Kluyveromyces lactis: one gene and its partners. The protein of the gene in region 5 interacts with the protein of the main gene of each other region in a biochemical or structural test. Links are inferred from orthologs where the notes say so. Each region holds a gene or a part of one and is shown on either strand. Other genes may lie near its edges.

Region 1 (3,162 bases), on a different chromosome or scaffold from region 5:
ATTGACACTTTATGACAGGTTGGAACGGCTGAAACATGTAAAAAACAAGATTAGCTTGTTAAATTCATATCTGTAAACCTAGCAGTAACAATAAAAGCAAAACAAACAAATTTTTCCTATTTGAATTCCAATAATAGAAAAGTTAGTGGATTCAAGGTTCAAGAGCTCTTAAAACCGGCCAATGAAAACCGTCCCATGTCGATTACTAAAGTTGGCATAGATCACGTCAGATCTATTTTGATGCCCTTTGGGGATCTCTCGAAGGAGAAAATGGAAAAAAAAGACACATGCACCCATACACCACATCATTAGTAATTTCCATGATCTCTCTTTTGGTTTCCGTGGAGATTCCTGGAAAAGCGTCCGATGACGAATGTGAGATATATTGGGCACCACTCGTGACCGTATCTAAGGAGGAAGGGCGCAATTCTTAGTTGCATATTTTATTCACTTAAAAGTGACAAAATTAGGTCGGCTTCCTGTTTGTAATGTGTTCCGTTCTATCCTTCACTATCATATATGATAGCGTCGTTGTCAGTGCCTTCAGTTCCATGAGTTGCCACAATGTTGTCTGAATGAACGATTCGTGGTGTAAACTGGATTGATTGCGAAGAGTTTGGTGTTACGGGCTGACTGTGACTTTGAACATCTAATAGCATACGGCTCGGACTTGGCTCCGTGTATAAAACCCGTCTTCTCTTGTTTGGGGGAAGCACCGGTGCTGCGGCTACTGCAGCAGCAGCAGCTGTCGCACTTGAGGAAGTGTTCGTAGGAAGAAGATTGTCAGTGACAGCAGTTGTTGGGTTTTCTGCGACTATAGTTGTGTGACAGCTATAAAAGTTCCCAGATTCATTAGTCTTAACCCAAACCAGTTTATTCTTCGAGCCCACTGGCTGTTGATGTTGTACAACAAACTGCCGTGATACCTCGGGGATGATTCTTTTCTGGGAGTTAGGATTCTGCTTTTGTTCTGCATCCCAATTCCAGAACACACCGATCCTGCATCGAAGAAACACCTCCCAACGGGCATCTTTACTTCCAACGGCTGCATTTGCTACTAATCCACTCTTCAACACTTGCACGTGACGTTTCCGTTGAGATTTCACGAGGAAATTGCTAAAGGAACCATCTGAGTGGGTTCCGTTGCTGGGATCGTTGTATGAGACAACTGCATCGTCTGAATAGTCCTGGTAACCTGTGTTCATAGCGTCATTAAGTAATACCACCACCGTATTGTTTGAAGTGGCGTATTTAGTTATGGTGACAAGCAATTGTATCAAACTTTTCACCTTGAAATCGTGCAAGGTCTGTCGATGGTTAGAATATCCACTGTTCTTCTCGTACATATGGAGATACTCTACCAAAAGCTGAGATAAACCATCGATTATTATGAGCCCGTACGTCTCTTTTAAATTCTGAAACATGTACCACAGTTGAGCAAATTTCTTCACTCTTGCGAATTGGCACCCTTTGAAATGGACTTCGTCCTCATCTCCTTGCTCTATAAGCTTCAGTGGTACTTGCTGGAACGTGTCAATCCACAGACATTTCATCCTATTCTGATTATTGTTCACTAATTGTACCGCGAACTTTGTCTTGCCAATTCCTGGAGGTCCGTAAACCTCGTAGATACTCTGTGGTTGGAATCCGTCATTCAATGAATCGTCTAAACTCTCAATGCCACTTCGTACATGATCTGCACGCGCTTGTATCAGTTGAGACAAAGGTACACCAAATGACATTAGAATGCTATCAACTAATCACCAAACGCGTCCACAGTTTCTCCTGGTTCTTCAAGCCTTTCAAGACTATGTATAACTAGCCTTTTAAATCCGCATAATTCACCTTTAGGTGTAACTAAAAAATGTCATCAAGTCCGTAGACAACTCAGCTCAATAATGTTTGTTTTATTTACCAGGTTTTTGCTGTGATTATGTTATTCAAAAATATAAAATAAGAAAAGATAAGAGGGAGTAATAATACTTGAATTTAATCATTGAAAGAATTGAAATTAAAAACTCGAAGGTTCTTCCCACGAATCTCCTTGTCTACCTCTTGTCGGATTATATCCTACGGGTGTATCTTATTTGGACTTTATTGATTATTAGTCTAGTTCATTAAGCTAGAGAAGATAATGAGTTCCGGGTAACATTTCAAATCTTAAAATTTTTCTTAGCATTCAACATTGCCGAACAGGAAAAATTGAAATCATTTCGACTTGTATCAATTCATGAATCTAAAATGCATAACTAGAAAGTCTACTATTTCTTGCTCAATGCATCCTATTTACATTCTTCCTAGAGTTTCGGAACGATTGATATAATTGAGGCAACTAACTAAAAATATTTAATGTCAATGTTTGGGCGTCAACTGTTCAGAGGAATACACACAGTTCCAAAGATACCTGGTATTTCACAACTTTTGGATTCAGGCATCCCTCATGTTATGAGCGCTAACACATTCAAAACTTGCTGGGTTGACCAGCAGCAGCTTTTGTGCGATAAGCTAACACTGGCATCTGCAGGAACTGCCGCAGAATCCTACTTGCCATTCCATTTAGTACTGCACACTGCGAAGAAATCATACCAAACAAACATTTTCAATTTGGCTAGTGCTTTGCACAATAACCATTTGTTCATAGAAAACATATTGCCTATGGAACAAGTTACACATCCATCTCGTGAGTTTCTACAGAAGCTAGAATCACAATATTCAATGACTTGGGATGCTTTTAAGGATGAAATGGTTAGACATGCAGAAGAAGATGTGTTAGGTCAAGGATGGCTATTCCTTGTGGAAAATGATGCCAAGGAACTTCACATCCTAACAGTTCAAAATAATGGTACTCCATACTACTTTGCTAGAAACCAATCTTTCGATTTGAACAGTGCTCTATCCTTAGAAGAAATGGAACAGTTTGTAACGATGAGAGATCTACTTGCCGCAAATGCAGACGTTAAAGATTGGACAATGCCTTTGATTGCGATCAGTTTGTGGGACCATTCATACTTGAATGATTACGGTATTAAGGGCAGATCCACTTACGTAAGGAAGTGTTTAGATAACTTGAACTGGTCTGCGGTTAACAACAGATTGTTCTCCACACAATAGGAGTATACCAGTACTTCCAATCATAAATAGACTGTTGGCTCTCTTTAAAAT
Region 2 (2,582 bases), on a different chromosome or scaffold from region 5:
CCTTGCATCTAAACGTCTATTTGACTTTTTGTAAGACTCCGTTTAAGGTTGAGATACTTAATTGAAGATCAAATATCAAAATATTACCGTTAAATCCAAAATTGAAGGGAAGGTAAAAGTATCGTCATAAATGTTCTGCTCGAATGGAATACAACCAGAAATTCCATATTACAGTATAATATGTATGCTATCAAATGAATCATATAATTCAATCGTACAATTATTGAAATAGTTTACTGTTACATACCTATTGGGATACTTTTATTGAAATGTGGTATATCACTGTGTTGAATGAGATTAAGAAGAGAGGTAATATTAATACAAAGCAACAACTGTAGGTTGAGCTATGCTGGGAGGATGGTCGGTTGATAATGAGGATCAGGGTGATATACCATGCTGTTAAATAATGCTGAAAGAAAAGAAGACTGAACCAATAACACGGGAATCGGTCAGCAAATCGAGAAGAGAGAGAGAAAAATGCAAATAATAATGGTAATAAGTTACAAGAAGTAGTCCATTTGAGGTTTTTTCGTAGGGAGAATGACATTACCTCCACTATCCCTCGCCTGAACAGCTTCAAAAATGGTGTAATCCTTCGTCATATCGTCATCGATGCGCAGCACAGCAGCCACATTCCCACAACGATAACAGTAGTTTGGTGCTGACCATACCGTGACTAATCCCCCATCGAACATCTCTTTATAACCTTCCATGACCAATTGATGAGCTCTAGCGATTAATTCGACACTATTTGTGTGTAAAAATTTATCTACTTCGTTTTGGCCAAATAGGAAACCTGCACCACGCGGGGAAAGAGACCAAGTATCCACATCCTCTGGATCCGACCACAATAAATCACACATAGCACCTTCATGCGGTACCTCCTTTTTCCTATCGATGGTTCGTATTTCGTTGATTGATAAAACGTCCGGCGATAATCCACCATGAACACAGAAAACCTTGTTGTTTACAATGGCACCCAAGGGCAAATAGTCGAATACTTCGCAACAGTATCTCCATACGTTACTGTTACCATATTTCCTTACCACTTCGTCGTAAAACCCATAAACCTTCGTAATCTGTCTTGTTTCATGATTTCCTCGTATCAACACAATTCTATCTGGATACCTTAATTTATAACATACCAAAAGAAGGAAACTCTCTAACGAATAGAACCCTCTATCCACGAAATCTCCCAAAAAGATGTATCTATTCTTTTCAATGCCTCCACTCTTAGCAAAGAGAGTCAACAAATCATGCAATTGGCCATGAATATCTCCACAAATTGTGACTGGCGTATCCACATGTGTCACGTTAGACTCATTCATAAGAAGTTCTTGAGCCATGACACACAGCGAGTATATCGAATCCTCGTCAACATGTTTCCCCTGCCTTAGAGTCTCTATAATCTCATCGAGTTTCATCATTGACAGATGCTCAGACGACGTTAAAGTTAAAACCAACTGGAAGTATAAAAGATAAAAAAAAGTGATTCCCTGTTCAAGAACTGACGATATTATTCTATAGTGATGAGTTTGGATCAAATCCAACAAAAACCTACCTTAAACTAATCTAACAAAGGTAAACTGAATAGTCATCATTAACAATATAGGCTTAAAAGCTTCTTTACTTTCTTATTTTCCAAAATTCGATGAGATAGACAAAATGCAAGTATCAAGAGAAATAAAAGTATCAAGTATCAAAAGAGGTAACAACAATTACATTTTTCGGTTAGCCTGAAAAGTCAACTTGTCGGTCTGCGCTTTCCGGTATGTCTACAGTATATAGCGTAGTGTGGAATGCTTGCCTGTGTTGTATATGGGAATTGTTCAGAATCTTGCTTCTTCTTCTTCTTCTCCTTCCATTGTTTCTTTTTTTTTGCCTGTACTCTTTTTTCACGTTTCTTTTTATCAGTTTGCTTCCTTTTTTGTGTTTCGGCCACAAAAACGATAATTTAACGTGACATGCGGGTAATGAGGTGTGCTTATGTAAGCCTTCGGAAGATGACACCCAGACATCGGAATGGCGGTATTCGTGCGTGGTGATGTCAAATATCACGTGGTTGATAATGTGCTTGTATTACCCGGAAACTGCATGTATGTCCCGTGCGTGGTAATTGAGAAAGGCATTGATCGGAATCAACGCGTCTGGATAGATGAACGGAATGTTAAAATGTAAGTTGCTACCAAACCAAGCTAGATACTGATCGCAGCTAGCCCCTTGATAGAATGCTTCGTAATAACCTGGACCAATGGTACGAGTACAATACCTCTTTTGTAGAGAAATTGCATGGGAAGTACCCCAATGAACAGTTGAATGAATATTTGCAAACTACGAGTACGAATTCCCTGATATCCAATAGACAAAATTCGGAGTGGGATGAGCTTCCAATGGATTTGGATTCCCAATTGAAATTGGAATTTGCATTGTACTTGATTAATGAATCTGCTAACGGTTCTCTAAGTACTAAGGGAACTACTTTCTTACAAAAGCTTGGCTCGGTAGACGTTGACACGTTGAAAGAATTAGTCCAATTGGTACTAGAGAATGATAAATCTTTAGCCAATAAAAGCACTGATGAG
Region 3 (3,962 bases), on a different chromosome or scaffold from region 5:
TGTTCATAACTGAGGCAAAAATGCAGAAATGATCAGACGCATTGGAATATTATTCAGGCGTCAAGTCTTCAAGCAACTTAAAAGCTTGCAGTAACTCGGCTTTTGCAGTTACTATGTCGTCATAGTTTAGAGCGCTTATTGCATACTTAGCACTTCGTTGTGCTTTTTGAATCCTGTGCTCCCTTGACATTATTTCTTTCAAAGTAGCAACATCATGTCTCACTGCCGGTTTAGGTGATTCTAATTTGATCGGTTCTGGCGTTAGCAACTTTATTGGAACTTCTGGCGACTCAAGCTGCTTTAACTTCTCAACGGATTCATCTACCTTCAAAGAGGGAGACGGACCATGCTGCTGTGCTATTTCCGAATCTTTTGGCTCTTCGAATAGCGGCTGATCCTCTAGATCCTCGACAAAATTTGGGATTTCATCTTCCACTTCGCTTAGTGGGTTACTATTTGTAGGTTCTGATGTGGTTTCTTGGGGCTTCTTGTCGCTTTGTAATTGTCCCCTTTTCAATTTCATAAGATAGTATTTGGAATGTTTGATCCTTTTATCGCATTGCTCTTTTACAATGGCATCCATACTATCCGCCCATATATGTTTACAGCATTGAAACAAATCTATACAGCACCATAGCCCCTTTCCTATATCGTCATTAATCCTATCATCTTGTATTTGTACTAAGATTCCGTTATAGATTGACATCGCAAGATTTAACACAAAAGCCAATGCTTTGTCTTTTTCATTCAACAGGATCTTAGTACCTTCATCATTCACCTCATTTTTAAAGCTCTCTACATCGTCTAATAATGACATGACCAACTCTGTCGCTTCCCCGTCTCGCTCCTTCTCATTCAATATTAGCTCTGCCGCATATAGTTTTAAGTAGTAAGATATAACAGGAAGAGTTGACAATTCTTTAGAGAGTTTAATGACTCTCTTGTACTGCGCTACATTGCTCATAATGTATCAAGTATAGTGAACGAAAGTCTTTTGGGCTGTATGAGCACGTCTCAGTCCCCTGGATACCTCATTCATTCCCTATCCCAATATGTCGATATTATGATAATATAATATACAAACGCCAAATGGAGAAAATTTATTGATTTTTGAATGTTAACCAAATTATGAACATCGTACTAATTTCACAATTGAGAACTCTAAACAACGAACAACGTTGACTGTACTAGTAATTGTTCTGGGATCCTTCACAATTTAACGGTATAAAGTGGACGATGAGCAGGCCTATTTTTAAGGTGCATAAGGGAGACCGTATTACTTTCCAGCAGCGACTTCAAGACGGATATGTCTGTCTGGACCAATTTATCCCTTTGTTGACCAACTTATCAAGTTTCAATTTCCATCGCGATGACCCATTGGTTGAGAATCTCGATGATATGGTCACTTCTCAATTCAATATACTTATAGACACTGATAGGTCTGGCACCCGATGGATCACTTTACAAAAAGCACATGAGTTATGGGATTTGCTGCAAATTAAAGATGATTCTGGTTCGGAAAATTTGACGGACCATGACGATGATAATGAAGCTAATCACAATGGCGTTGAAGACGATGGTCAGAAGACTCCTGAGAATAATGGTAGAAAGACGGACAACCACACAATGGAGAATGGTGGTACTGAAAATACAAATAACGGAAACAACAGCTCGAATAAAAATGATGGGAATGTTACTGCCGAAGGAAGTAATTTCAGGCCTGCAACAATTACAAATGGAACCACTTCTAGAATCAGTGGTGGTGAGCCAGACACTGTTAAACATGAGCTTCTAGATCTTCCCGATTCTCCTACGAAGAGGCATCAAACCAAATCTGTTTCAAAGATCCCGGTTTTCCAACATGATTTACCTACGGTCTCTACGTTACAGAAAACTCTGCCTCCAGTTAGTAATTACTCAAATGATGAACGTGCGAAGTTAGAGACCTTACTTCAGCGTATTCTTTTCCCCGAAACTACGAATTTGAACGTTGCAGAAGGTTACCCATCGGTCAGCTTAACCCAGCAGGTACAAGAACTGGACACACAATTCCCAAACGTTCCACTAAATTTTAACATCCCAATTGATGAACATGGAAACACTTCCTTGCATTGGCTGTGTTCCATAGCCAATCTAGACCTTCTCAAACAGCTCATTGTCTTTGGCAGTGATAGAAGAATCGGCGATAAGTCCGGTGAATCAGTGCTTGTAAAATCTGTGAAGTCGGTAAACAATTACGATTCTGGTACATTCGAGATACTGTTGGACTACTTGTACCCTTGTATCGTAATGGTTGATGACATGGATAGAACCGTTCTTCATCATATTGTGATTACTTCTGGTATGCCTGGTTGTAATGCAGCGGCTAAGTATTACCTCGATATTTTGATGGGTTGGATAGTTAAAAAGCAAAGCAGAACTAAAGAATCGCATTGCGTGCTACTAGAAGATATCGATCTTCAATGGGTTATCACTCATTTACTCAATGCTAGAGATTCTAATGGTGATACCTGTTTAAATATTGCCGCCAGGCTTGGAAACGTTGCCATTGTCGAAGCATTGTTGGATTATGGTGCTGATCCTAATATTGCAAACAATTCCGGATTGTGCCCTGTGGATTTTGGTGCAGGTACTCAACCCCGTTTTCAATCGAATACAAAAAATCTTATGGCCACACCTACCAAAACTCATGAAACTTCGTTGGATCCGATGGCTGAGTCTACATCGTTAATCACAAATATAAAATCACTCCTCTCAAAAATATCGAATGATTATGGTGATGAAATTAAACAACATAATGGGAAGATGAAGGAGCTCCTCGATACACTCAACATAAAGAGAGAAGCGTTGGCTAATGCACGGGATAGATTGGCTAAGGCAAAGCAAATCCAAGATGAATATAATCTGTTGTCCGACAGACTGAACAATGTGGAAAACACTATCGCTGAAGAAGATCAAAATTTCCAACTTGCTTCTAGAGAATTAGGACTATCACTGGATGATGTCCAAGAAGAAGGTCTGAACTCAGCCGATATTGCATTCGATGCTGATGAGCCTTTCAGAATCTCTTACGTTTACACAAAGTTTGAGGAAAAGATCAAAGACGAATATAACAATGATTTTGAACTATTCCTCAAACATTGCAATTTATCACAACTTGTTCATGAAATATACGATAACTTCCCTTCCAGAGCAGAAATCCCACATCCCAAAATTCTTAAAGCAAGAATCAAAGCGTACAATAGAAACGAATTGCATTTAGACTCAACTTTACAGACTATCAAAGACAAGCAGAAGAATTTAGAATCTAAATTCAGAAAAGTCTTGTCTCTCTGCTTGAAGATAGATGAAGAGAAGGTTGACTCAATGCTTGACGGTCTTTTGCAAGCTATATCTAATGAAGATCCTGAAGATATAGATACAGACGAGGTGAACAACTTTTTAGAGAGTGCCGCCGAATAAATACCAATTGATGGTAACCTATTTGGAAATAACTCTTGTTGTACTTTTATTTCTAACTAAACAGTTTACGCAAGCTGTTGTAATTTTAGTGGACTTTTACCTATAAAATACGATGAACCTTTTTTTTCTATTACATTTATTGCCTATGTATATATTTGTTTCTTCGACGCCTTGTGTTAAAAAGCAAGTCGAGCAGAATTTTTAGATTATTTAGTTGGTTTCTTCCAGAAATACTGTTTATGCACTCTCCTGCATGATCTTAAACCAGATCTGCCACCCTTGAGTGATGCTACCAGCTGTCTTCTGTCATCGTCAGGATCATTTTCTGCATCATAGTAGTATTCTTCATCCAGTGGCTTTCCTGCGGCATCTTTTCCTGTACGGTAAATTACTCCGATACATTGTTCGTCATTCAAAATAGCGCGCAGTTCTGTGCGGCTTAACTTCGAGACAACAGAGTTAACATCCTGCAATTGAAAGAGTGGCACTTGTTGAATGTT
Region 4 (3,686 bases), about 810 kb from region 5:
TGTTTCTATTGCGTTCATTCTTGTAATTCAACGGAGTGTAGAGCGAAGAGTCGCTGAATACATTTGCCGATGTGCCCATCCCAACGTTGAAATCCTCATCTGTTGAGTGTTTGACATGTTTGATCCTGCGGAACTGCGGGCTTTTCCAGGGTGGCAGACGCGGAAGATCTATGTTGTGCTCCATGTATTAACTTAAGAGCCTGAACAGCTACAGTTGAGGGGTTGAAGGCTGGTTCTTGGCAACATTTTGCCTATAATTATGACAAATTATTGTGGGTATTTTAGAATGCTTACCTTTGACTGACATTTGTGGCATTGGTTTAATGATCACGTGATATCAATGGTAAACCTAACAGATTTCAAACAGCTTGGACATCCCATAGTAGTGTCAATTTCGAGGTATCTGATTAGATTGTTACATAATATATATATATATATTAGATTTAAAGCCGAAAGCTCACCTCATGATATGCCTAAATTAATATGTTTGTGTCTTCGTGCTAAATCAATCCGCTTAATGTCAAACGTTCAAGGAATGGTTGTAGATCGTCTTTCCTGATTTCAATAATTGATGTCTCGAAATTGTCAATCCTTACTTTGGCACCTGTCTCAGCTGCTATTTGTTGAAATGCCACTGTGAAATTATTTAAAGTTTTCTGCTGTTGTTGTTGTAAAATGTCCAACCCTCTTGGGTACCTTGGCGCAATCCCTGCACAAAGATATGTGTCAGAAGTCTCATCTAAAGTTGCCAATACCAGTGGAAGTAACTGTTTTTCGTCATTTTCTGCATAGTATTCAATGAGCCATGATCCCAGCCTCAATAACGTTAATGGATTTCTATATAAATGCAAATCTGGTCCATCTTGTAAAACACATAGCCTGTAAATCCTTAAATGTTTCACTAATCTTTTCTCCAGAATAGCGACTCCAGTTTCAAATACACTTCTTTGTAAAAATGTTGCATGCTTAATCCCCTGAGATAAAATATCCATATTATTGTCCAATACATCCCAACTTGACCAAAAATTTGCAATCCATTTTTTTTGCCTTGTCTTCAGTATTCTGTTAATTTTTTGCTCTTCAGCTTCTTCGTACTCCCTATTCTCTTCATCACCTTGGTTCGTATCATCTTTTTGAGATACATTAGCTGTTGTCAAATTTTCTAGTGCGTTTGAAGCATTGCCAACTTCAAGTAAAGCGGTTATCGATTCGACAAATTCACTGGCACTTATTGATCCTCGGTAACCGAAAGTTCTCAAGAACCCATCTCGTACAATATCTTGTAACCCGTATCTATCGAGATTTTTATCGAAAAGTACGCCCAGATCTCTCTTGAAATTATTGTCCATATATATCCAGTTTTCCTGTGTAACACTCAGCGGAATACCCATGCGTGCAAACATTTTATGCAGTCTTTTCTTGCCATTTTCATTCCACAGTGACAGTTTGGCGTTGACGTAGTTAGAATAATAAAAACTATCATATAAGGATGTATGCCTCAGAAGGAATAAACTGTAATCGGGACGAATCTCAAGATTCAAAGAATCTGGCGTTTTAGTTTTTTCACTAGGTGTCAATCTTTTTACTTCATCTTTCAGAAGTGGTAATAGTCGATTGTATACCAACGGGAAGGAATTATCCAAAGAGGACACTCCTAGAATGCATAACCATAAATAATCTAGATTTGTCTCACCAATACCAGACAAAAGAGAATATATCTGAACTGAAAGGGAGTTCAGCACCGTTGATCCCTGTGAATAGTACTCCTGTAACACTTTTTCTAAGTTGTGAAACTCTCGCTTTCGTTGTTTATGTGATTTTTTTGGATTCAATTCATCGCTGGACCTTTTACCCAATACTACGTCATCGTCATCGTCATCGTCATCGTCATCGTCGTCTTTATCCTCATTTTGCGTTTCCCTGTCATCTTCCTCTTCCTCGCTATCACTGTCATCGTCCAATTCATCGCCAAGTTCGTTCTCTATCTCTATAAGTTTGTAGTATGCTTTCTTTTGCTCTGTCAAAGACTCTTCGACTGTTCCATCATCGAAACAGGTTATGCACTGTGAACCAAATAAATTATCCAAATTCCACGGTCTATGACAATCAAGCACAAATATCTCCTTCTTAAATTTCTGAACAACGTCAGTCTTATCTAATTGAATCTCATCTAATGGACCCTGCGTGTTTTCTTGTGGATCAATCTCTAAAAAAGATTCAAGATCTACCATCCCTCCACAACCTACAAATATAACGCTATTGATATTTTCGTCCAGTCTCTGATAGTGATCCTTCAATTCCGAATAACCAAACACGGGAACTAACTGTGATTGTACCAATTGCTTCTTGAATAGACTGGATAGCATCTTCGATGCACATAACGCGTCAATGTTTAAACACGAAACAAAAATCACCAACTGACATGAAGAATGAGAACTGCATCGGTGAAGAATTTTATCATAAGCACCCACAAATTCAGCAATGCCAATATACATCCTCTACCTGGCACTTTGATGGCCTGCAGTGGTTTTGTTTGCAGTCTCTTTTCCCTCGTGAGCTAGTCATCTCATGTATTTACATAAATTTCTTTAAAATATTGGTTTGGAATACTTACACGTTTAAAGATTTTTGGAAAATCGATTACTTGTCATAAATGGCATACATGCGAAATATTCGAAATATTCGAAGAGATGCCAAGATTTACAAGACTATAGGTACTAAACACTGCTATCTGATATTTCATATTGCAGTATTACGAAATACGAAGATCTTAACTTACTATGAAACTACTGGGAACAATAATTGGTTCAGCATTCTTTTTACAAGCTGTGTCTGGATTCTTTTTCGATTCAGGTCACCAGAATAGACAGCAACAGCAGCAACAGCAGCAACAGCGGGATGTTGGCTCTTACCAGCAAATGTTCCTAGATAATGACTGTCCGCATTATTTATGTCCACAGACATTGGATTGTGTGAGACAGAAGTCGGATTGTGCGTGTCCGTTCCCTAATTCACAATTGAAATGCAATCTACCCAACGGTCAGGTAATTTGCATCTCAAAGCCAGCAACACATGATCCAACACTGGTAGAGATTTATGATGATCCAGTAATGGGACCAGCTCAACGTACTGAGGGATTCAGAGATTGTGGATGGATCTTGGATGTATATGACGGCAAGATTTAGAATGAGAGATCTTTCTTTCTGTATCGGCCATAATACTATTACAAACATAAACTGATAATATATATAGAGACATATAATACAGACCATTACTGTATTTAATGCAATTAACTAGCATGGGTTTATTTTTACTCGTTTGAGTTCTTCGCGGAAAAGATCGTTACCGGTTCGGAACAGTTAATCTCTGTTCTTACCTGCAACCCATCTTTTGTATAACAATTCATGGATTTTAAAGTTTCTGAAAAGCTCATCGTACTTTGATTGCTTCCAAAGTTCCATTAAGTCATCTTCAGGTATGAGTTGTTCAACGTAGCATAATACAAACTGTTTCTTGGCTCCGCCCACGACTCTGGCAGCGCTTGAATACCAAGTGTAATCATTTGACTGGTTTGCATCCAAAACCATGATTCCATACTCCGCATGTTGGAAAGGGGGTCCTCTTCTGTATAATAAGTATTCGCAACCAAATTTTATCCCCGATCGTACACACCACCCTTTGGACCT
Region 5 (4,096 bases):
ATTGTACTGGTATGCACCATACCTATCAGTTTACATGGTTTTAGGGAAGTAATGATGGGTAGTTAATTTAACAAAAATATTATGTAGAGGAATGCATCTTTCCTATACAATGTCCAATTTATGAACTAGTAGTAAATATAAATAGACTTCAAAATCTGACGCGAAAGACTACTGAGCCCGGCTCTTGTATTTAAAGGGTTTCCTTGGGAAAAACTAACGGATGTAGTAGACTTTTTATCCAGTCCTGATTCTGGGAACAGGTCATTTAATTAGCAGATAGAATGGTAAGAAACTTAACATAACGTTATGGAGGTATGTGAGATTAATAATTTACGATTTTGTTATTTACCGTAACATTACGGTTAAAGTTGACGGTATGATTTGAACCTTCACCAGTAGATCAAAGCTGATATATAATTTTACTACATAGCTATCTCGTTGAAGGACATTATTGCAGTATTAATAAAACGAAAACTTATATATATCATTTCTTCAATCGGTTATGGGGAATTGTCTTAACGAATGTTTTAAACATGAATAGAACCTAGTTTTTTCAAGAAAAGGCTCTAACAGTTCAAATACAATAACGTTATATGAGCAAAATGCAAAGAATTTCTGAAAATTCGGAGTGTTATGCTTGATAGCAACCATATCGATTTATAATCTTTACTTCCATCTATTGATAAGTAAAGATTTTAAAGTCTTTGTAGCATGACTGGAGTTAGAATAAGAAACAGCTGATACAAGTTATTCAACCATGGTATTTACTAATTGATGCCATATGGATTGTTGCAGTATAAACCGGCTTCACATAGTTCTGAAGAAGATTCGGCACCAATCACCTGATGCCGCAATGTGCCATAATAGAACTTCTATCAATGATTCCGTTCTATTTACTCAAATTCCCACTCCAACGTTGTAGCAGTGCCGAGTAAAGACTGATCCATCTTTGATCATTGGCTTTGTATATATGTATGTACTTTTACGCGTCATTGTAATATTTAATGTTCATCGAATATTTACGCGATTTAAAGGTTGACATTTTTCTGAAATAATCTGGATCTTTGAATTGCAAAAGCGATCATACACATTATGAAAGAACGATTTATTCCATTATTCATTAGCTTTGTGTTGGCAGTTTAGTGGGTATACACAGTCACAACCGACTATAGAATAGCACACTTGTGAAAATCGTTCTATATTGAGGCATTAAGTTGTCCCTTTGAGGTTTGCCGTTACCTTTCCCAGCCTCTTTAGAGATCAACTGATCATTGCTGTGCAAACGAAGATATTGACATGGATGATATAACGCAACCGACACAACAAGCCACTCAGGCTACACAGAAGTACCTAATAGATAAGTTTTCTCAGGAGAAAATAGACGACGATGTGGTGTGCAGAGTAATATGTACAACTGGTCAAATAAGTCTACGGGACTTGAAGGTTCAACCTGAAAGTATATTCAAAAAGGAATCATCAATTAAAAAAACATGGACCTTTGGAAGAAACCAAGGATGTGATTATTATCTGGGGGATATTTCAAGACTGTCCAACAGACACTTTATGCTAATGCTGGGTGAAGAAGGAACTTTAATGCTGAAGGATACATCAACCAATGGAACATGGTTAAATGGAGCGAGGATACAAAAGGATACGAATCACATCTTGACCCAAGGGGATGAAATAAGTGTTGGAGTCGGCGTTCCCAGCGATGTCGTTAGTTTAGTGATTTTCATCAACGATAGTTTCAAAAATAGACTAAAAGAACTCAATATGATGAAGGATGTGACTTCACCTGCTTCATCTTCAAAGAGCAAATATCAGATATCAATGGGACATACAGAATTAAAAGGAATACACAAATACTATTCGATATCAGATTCGATTGTTGGTCAAGGTGCTTTCGCTACTGTGAAGAAAGCTGTCGAAAGGTCAACAGGCAAAACATTTGCGGTCAAAATAATTCATAAGAGAAAAGTAATGGATAAATTTGATGGAGTGAAGAGGGAACTAGATGTATTGCAGAAATTAAATCACCCCAGGATAGTTAAACTTAAGGACTTTTTTGAAGACAATGATAATTATTACATGTTGATGGAGTTTGTCAGCGGAGGCGATTTAATGGATTTCGTAGCAGCCCATGGAACTGTAGGCGAGGATGCCGGCAGAGAGATAACACGACAGGTTTTAGAGGCAGTAAAATACATGCATGATCAAGGAATTAGCCATCGAGACTTGAAACCTGATAATATAATGATAGAGCAAGACGATCCAGTTCTTATAAAGATAACCGATTTTGGCCTGGCAAAAGTACAAAATCAGAATACATTCCTGAACACTTTTTGTGGTACTCTAGCATATGTTGCACCTGAAGTTATAGACGGGAAAAATGCTGAAGATAAAACTAATCGAGATCTGTATTCCTCACTTGTTGATATGTGGTCAATTGGATGCCTAGTTTACGTTATTCTTACAGGTCACTTGCCTTTTAGTGGTCAGTCTCAGAATGAATTGTTCAAGCAAATAAAACGGGGCTCTTATCATGAAGGACCATTAAAGGATTATAGAATATCCGAAGAGGCAAGAAACTTCATAGATTGCCTGTTGAATGTGGACCCTAAAGAAAGAATGAACGCAGGAAAGGCCCTGCAACATCCATGGATGAAAATGGCATACGTTGATAGCATGCAGTCACAAATATCCATCTCACAATCCTTGTCCCAGCAACAATTTGTTGACAGTATGAATGAGGCTGAATACGAATCATACATTGCGAAAAAGAGGTTAGAGATTATCAAGAAAGAAATAACGGCGCCTGCTGCAGAAACTAATAAAGAGCCTGTATTCAAAAAACCACAAATTGCACCATCTAAAATTGCACAATCCCAAAACTTGCAGTTTAACTTTTCAAATCCTAATACTGGTAAAGCTATTAATGTTAATTATAAATCTGGTGAAGAAGGACTTTCAAACAATAAGAACAAAAAGATCAATAGACCACTTACAAAGGTCAATGGGGAGGGGCTATTTCTCACTTTGCATTCCTTACCTGGCTCATCTATTTCAGGTAAGGTCCAAGTAAAACAAGGGATAAATCCATTCTTCATCGGTAGGTCAGACGAATGCAACTGTAAAATTGATGATAATCGTTTATCTAGGATACATTGCTTCATATTGAAGAAAAGACACGCTGTCGGTGACAGTATTTATGAATCTCCAGCTCAAGGTCTTGATGATGTATGGTATTGCCAAAGTGGTACTAACTCAAGCTATGTTAATGGAAAGAAAATCACTCCGGGCACAAAGATCTTACTTCATGATGGCGATGAAATCCAAATTATATGGGATAAAATCAATGATGTCACTGTTTCTTTCCAGCTTGAGTTCAATGATACCACTGGTTTGTTCCACGAGGGGAAGCTGGATACCAATGAGAAAACAAACAAGACACTTCTACATAAACAGACACAGGAGGAGTTAGCTTTAGTCCCTAAGTTTATGGAATTTATGAAGTCTAGATCATCACAACATGCCAAATCTAATATAAACCAGTCCTCTTCCAGTAACATAGATGCCAACTCGCAAAATATCGAGGAATTAGATTCTGTCGTTGAGATGAACTCGACTACAGGATTGAAAAGAATACATTCAGTGTCGTTATCTCAATCTCAACCGCAGACAACCAAAAGGGCTAAGCTTGCCCAAGCCCAGAAACCAGATATTGAAGGATTTCTCTGAGCTGATCATATGCTTGCCGGATGGGTTTTGCATACAGTAAATATGAAAAATAGGTACACTTTGAGTATGCTAGATAGACTTTTCAACGTTAATTGATGTAATACTAATACAAATTGGTTCAAAAGCACTATAGACCAGCAGTCAATAACACTAGGTAGAAAACATGCTGTGTTCGCAATAACATTGTTGAGAAATTATTGCTGGCAAACATTCGTTACAAACCTATATTTTTCGAAGAGTCATAGGTTCAGTAATACTGTTCAGAATTTTCATTATATTAAAACTACTCGTCCCTCAGTCATGAGATCTCGTATTACACTATAACGTATTACGTATACTGCCCCGATTAATAAGTAAA
Region 6 (3,364 bases), on a different chromosome or scaffold from region 5:
AGTAAGTGACCATTCTCCATGTATACCGGAGCTAAAAGACCTCGCAAAAGGTGATTTTTTTAGTGCATGGGGAGGAATTGCATCCGTCGGGTTGGGACTACCATTACTATACACTAACGGTGCTTCCATCGCTGAAATCATTCAATGGTGTTGCGAGAACACCAGTAAGCAAGTTGGTCTTGATCACAGGAAGGGTTTCCTAAGAACTGGATACGACGCAGATTTTGTTATCTTCGACATCAATACCTATCAGACTGTCGACAACGATAAAGTTTATTTCAAAAACAAACTGACAGCCTATGATGGGTTCAAACTGAAAGGTTTAGTGAGAAACACCTATGTTAGAGGAAAATTGGCTTTTGAACTTGACGGCATGGGACATAATAAAAACCCTCCCGGCCAGACAATTCTTGAACGCAGAAGAACATGAAGTACCCCATCTTCTAATCATTTTTTTTTCTTCAATTTTGAATTACCTTTATTTGATGCATGATATACATATTATATATATATCACTTATGATTTAAATTTACCTAGAATATACTTCATTATTATAATTTCTAGAACAGCAATCGTCGGTACAAGAACTATGGAGCAAATTGATATGGTGACCAACCTCGATGCTATTGATTTAACAGTGTGGTGGTTTCTTTCTGCACGTGATTTGTACAGCTTCAAATTTCTTTCCAAGACTTGAAGCTGATCCTCTATTATATTTACAGAATCTTGCAGTGTCCTCACCAGTGAACTATCTATCGTCTCTCCTATCAAACGAGGATCTGCTGGCTTCGGTATCTGATCGAAACATATCTGTACAATGTCTAAATCAACAATCTTAGGATATTCATCACCAATGACACATAACGCATATTCACCAGTATGTTTCGCAGGAAATGTCCATTGCCCTTGCTCTTCGTCATCTTTGTAAATCATAGGATACTCTGTATCGTCCGGAGACCATAATTCATAGCTTACTCTGAAGGCATTGTTTTCTCCCTCTTGTACTGCGAAGTAATAAGATATTTTGCAGTCACTGTCATCAACATCAATGTAAACACATTCTTTCCCATTCTTCTGTAATTGTACCGTTATTGGTGAGCTTTGACAGACAATCACAAGCGAAAATACCCATAACCATGTAAACTTCATATTTAATAAGTTATACATGAAGGTTGCTTTGTGTGTAAATGTCCTTTTATTCGACAATTCCCCTTTTAACGTCCTGTTTCTGTTCATTAATATATGTCATTTCAATGTGAACTACTGCTGTTTGTTATTATATTTGGTTTCGACAATAAAAATGAAAACATCGCCAAAAAATGCATAGAATAAAAGAATCAACGGATATAGCGTATCTGTTCTTGTAGAGTCAAACCAATGGGTATACAGCTCGTCTGTTAGGCTTCATATTAGGTGGCAATATACACACTATAATTATGGATGACATTCCCGCTGAAATCATCCAGGAAATGGATGATTTGTACGATAAGGTACCACAGTTGTCATCCAGATACAAGCTACTGGATAAGATCGGAGAGGGGACCTTTTCATCGGTATATAAAGCTCAAGATCTTAGCAACGTATCTGGAAGGTTATACCCTGATCATTTCTGGGATAAGAATAGTAAACATGTGGCTATCAAGAGGATATACGTGACAAGCTCGCCGAACAGAATTGAAAATGAACTTAAACTCTTAGAGTTACTGTCAAATTCGAATAACGTAGCACCATTATGCGACGCGATTCGATACCAGGATCAGGTGGTTGTCGTCTTGCCCTGGTATCCGCATGAAGAATTCCGGCATTTCTACCGAGACATGCCTATCAAGGGGATAAAGAAGTACATGTTTGAACTTTTAAGCGCCTTGAAATACGTGCACTCATTTGGAATCATTCACAGAGACGTGAAGCCAACCAATTTCCTATACAACCCAATACTTGGGAGAGGTGTGTTAGTAGACTTTGGTTTGGCTGAAGAGAATGAAGAGTTGTACTTGCCTGACCTCAACTATCGTGTGTATGTTAATGACCAGGGAGAGAAGGTTTGTAATTGTTCTTCACCGTATGCTAACAACAAAAAGACATCACATCTGCCGTTGATATCCATTCAGAACGGGCAGCTTAACGTTAGAGGGGCAAATGAATTAAGTGCTGCACAAAGTGAGAATCTCATGAAGGCAGAATTGAGTAAGGGGTACCCAAAACATGAAACTAGGAGGCAGCGTAGAGCTAATAGAGCTGGTACGAGAGGGTTCAGAGCGCCAGAAGTGCTTATGAAATGTTCTTTCCAAACTCAAAAAATTGACATTTGGTCAGTTGGTGTGATACTGTTAAGTTTCATCAGCAGAAGGTTCCCAATCTTTCAAAGCATGGATGATATTGACGCCTTTCTGGAGATATGTTGCATTTTTGGAATCAAGCCCATGCAAGAAGTCGCCAAGTTCCATGGGTTGGGACTAGACATGACAAAGGTTCCAGGTTTCCATTCGGAAGGATATCCTGGGGGGCTACAAGGTTTTGTGAGAGCTTTACTTGACAAAGAAGTGGAGGAAGGAACATTACCAGAGTATTCCATAGCGTTCGAGACGTTGGATTATTTGACACAATTTGACAAACAACTCACGCCAAGTTTAGGCCCAGACGATGAAGAGGATATTGATGATAAAATACGGAGCTACAAACAAGCAGTTTGGGACGATCATTTTTGGTGTTTTGATCTCTTGGCAAAATGTTTCGAACTCAATTCATACAAAAGACCCAGCGCCAGTGATCTTCTTGAACATTTATGGTTCAAAGAACTGAACGAAGATTTACTTGATAGAGATCAAAGAAGAGAAGATCACTTCACCGGGGTCGTTGAGTAATGAAATCCAGAACGAAACAAAAATATTTGACGAAAATTAGCATATATTCACCGCAATAACTTAGAGCAGAACTCATTTTTTATATACATGCATTCATATATAGAGTTCTTTAACCGATAGAGTAATTTAATACTTTGCATTCATCATCATTATTATATTTAGTTTACAAACGTTGCCAACGCTTTGACGGCATAAGTTAGAGAACAAGTGCGTAAATAAACGAGTAAAACAGCGTTATTCACTTAAGAGAGAATGCTATAATACCCCAAGTCAAATATGTATGTGGTGATAGTAATTGGTGAATTCAGAACAAGAATGGGATCAAGAATGCTCTCTTGGTACCATATTTCTTGTTTTTCTTTTGAGCCCACAAGTACATCTGAACCACCGAGACAACAAGGAAAAGAACTGAGAATAAGTTCAACTTGAACAACAAAGTGAAAAACATCCAAGCCCAAGATTCAAAAGTGTAATTTGGAGCGACAAGTAGTTTGAACAAC

What was found.
Region 1: of the proteins of RAD53 (region 5) and RAD55, one has a biochemical effect on the other in vitro, tested with the Saccharomyces cerevisiae proteins (2 studies listed by BioGRID). The link is inferred for Kluyveromyces lactis from reciprocal best matches to the Saccharomyces cerevisiae genes RAD53 and RAD55.
Region 2: of the proteins of RAD53 (region 5) and PPH3, one has a biochemical effect on the other in vitro, tested with the Saccharomyces cerevisiae proteins (2 studies listed by BioGRID). The link is inferred for Kluyveromyces lactis from reciprocal best matches to the Saccharomyces cerevisiae genes RAD53 and PPH3.
Region 3: of the proteins of RAD53 (region 5) and SWI6, one has a biochemical effect on the other in vitro, tested with the Saccharomyces cerevisiae proteins (2 studies listed by BioGRID). The link is inferred for Kluyveromyces lactis from reciprocal best matches to the Saccharomyces cerevisiae genes RAD53 and SWI6.
Region 4: the proteins of RAD53 (region 5) and CDC45 interact in a test that uses a peptide from one of them, tested with the Saccharomyces cerevisiae proteins (2 studies listed by BioGRID, with this or other methods). The link is inferred for Kluyveromyces lactis from reciprocal best matches to the Saccharomyces cerevisiae genes RAD53 and CDC45.
Region 6: the proteins of RAD53 (region 5) and CDC7 form a complex in vitro, tested with the Saccharomyces cerevisiae proteins (2 studies listed by BioGRID, with this or other methods). The link is inferred for Kluyveromyces lactis from reciprocal best matches to the Saccharomyces cerevisiae genes RAD53 and CDC7.

Annotation. Positions count from the first base shown.
Region 1 is NC_006041.1:117,463-120,624, forward strand, and holds RAD55 (putative DNA-dependent ATPase RAD55), read right to left. Parts: upstream 1,743-3,162; coding exon 501-1,742; downstream 1-500. Other genes in the region: RSM26 (mitochondrial 37S ribosomal protein mS42), read left to right, coding at 2,350-3,111. UniProt on the Saccharomyces cerevisiae protein: Required for radiation resistance and meiotic viability and presumably acts in recombination and recombinational DNA repair pathways.
Region 2 is NC_006041.1:889,657-892,238, forward strand, and holds PPH3 (phosphoprotein phosphatase PP4 catalytic subunit PPH3), read right to left. Parts: upstream 1,428-2,582; coding exon 501-1,427; downstream 1-500. Other genes in the region: PEA2 (Pea2p), read left to right, coding at 2,229-2,582. UniProt on the Saccharomyces cerevisiae protein: Forms the histone H2A phosphatase complex in association with the regulatory subunits PSY2 and PSY4, which dephosphorylates H2AS128ph (gamma-H2A) that has been displaced from sites of DNA lesions in the double-stranded DNA break repair process.
Region 3 is NC_006039.1:143,071-147,032, forward strand, and holds SWI6 (transcriptional regulator SWI6), read left to right. Parts: upstream 1-1,236; coding exon 1,237-3,462; downstream 3,463-3,962. Other genes in the region: VTA1 (Vta1p), read right to left, coding at 50-964; TOS4 (Tos4p), read right to left, coding at 3,669-3,962. UniProt on the Saccharomyces cerevisiae protein: Part of a complex involved in cell-cycle-dependent transcription. SWI4 and SWI6 are required for formation of the cell-cycle box factor-DNA complex. The repeated element in the upstream region of HO (5'-CACGAAAA-3') is called the cell cycle box (CCB).
Region 4 is NC_006042.1:1,834,515-1,838,200, forward strand, and holds CDC45 (DNA replication initiation factor CDC45), read right to left. Parts: upstream 2,496-3,686; coding exon 501-2,495; downstream 1-500. Other genes in the region: KLLA0_F19800g (uncharacterized protein), read right to left, coding at 1-184; LCL2 (Lcl2p), read left to right, coding at 2,781-3,185; tRNA splicing endonuclease subunit SEN2, read right to left, coding at 3,360-3,686. UniProt on the Saccharomyces cerevisiae protein: Required for initiation of chromosomal DNA replication. Acts at the origin of replication. Also has a role in minichromosome maintenance.
Region 5 is NC_006042.1:1,025,771-1,029,866, reverse strand, and holds RAD53 (serine/threonine/tyrosine protein kinase RAD53), read left to right. Parts: upstream 1-1,296; coding exon 1,297-3,738; downstream 3,739-4,096. Other genes in the region: DNA replication protein SLD5, read right to left, coding at 4,011-4,096. UniProt on the Saccharomyces cerevisiae protein: Controls S-phase checkpoint as well as G1 and G2 DNA damage checkpoints. Phosphorylates proteins on serine, threonine, and tyrosine. Prevents entry into anaphase and mitotic exit after DNA damage via regulation of the Polo kinase CDC5.
Region 6 is NC_006039.1:396,463-399,826, forward strand, and holds CDC7 (serine/threonine protein kinase CDC7), read left to right. Parts: upstream 1-1,436; coding exon 1,437-2,864; downstream 2,865-3,364. Other genes in the region: DAL1 (allantoinase), read left to right, coding at 1-430; ERP3 (Erp3p), read right to left, coding at 517-1,236; trans-2-enoyl-CoA reductase (NADPH) TSC13, read right to left, coding at 3,169-3,364. UniProt on the Saccharomyces cerevisiae protein: Serine/threonine-protein kinase. Needed for the initiation of DNA synthesis during mitosis as well as for synaptonemal complex formation and commitment to recombination during meiosis. Required for HTA1-HTB1 locus transcription repression.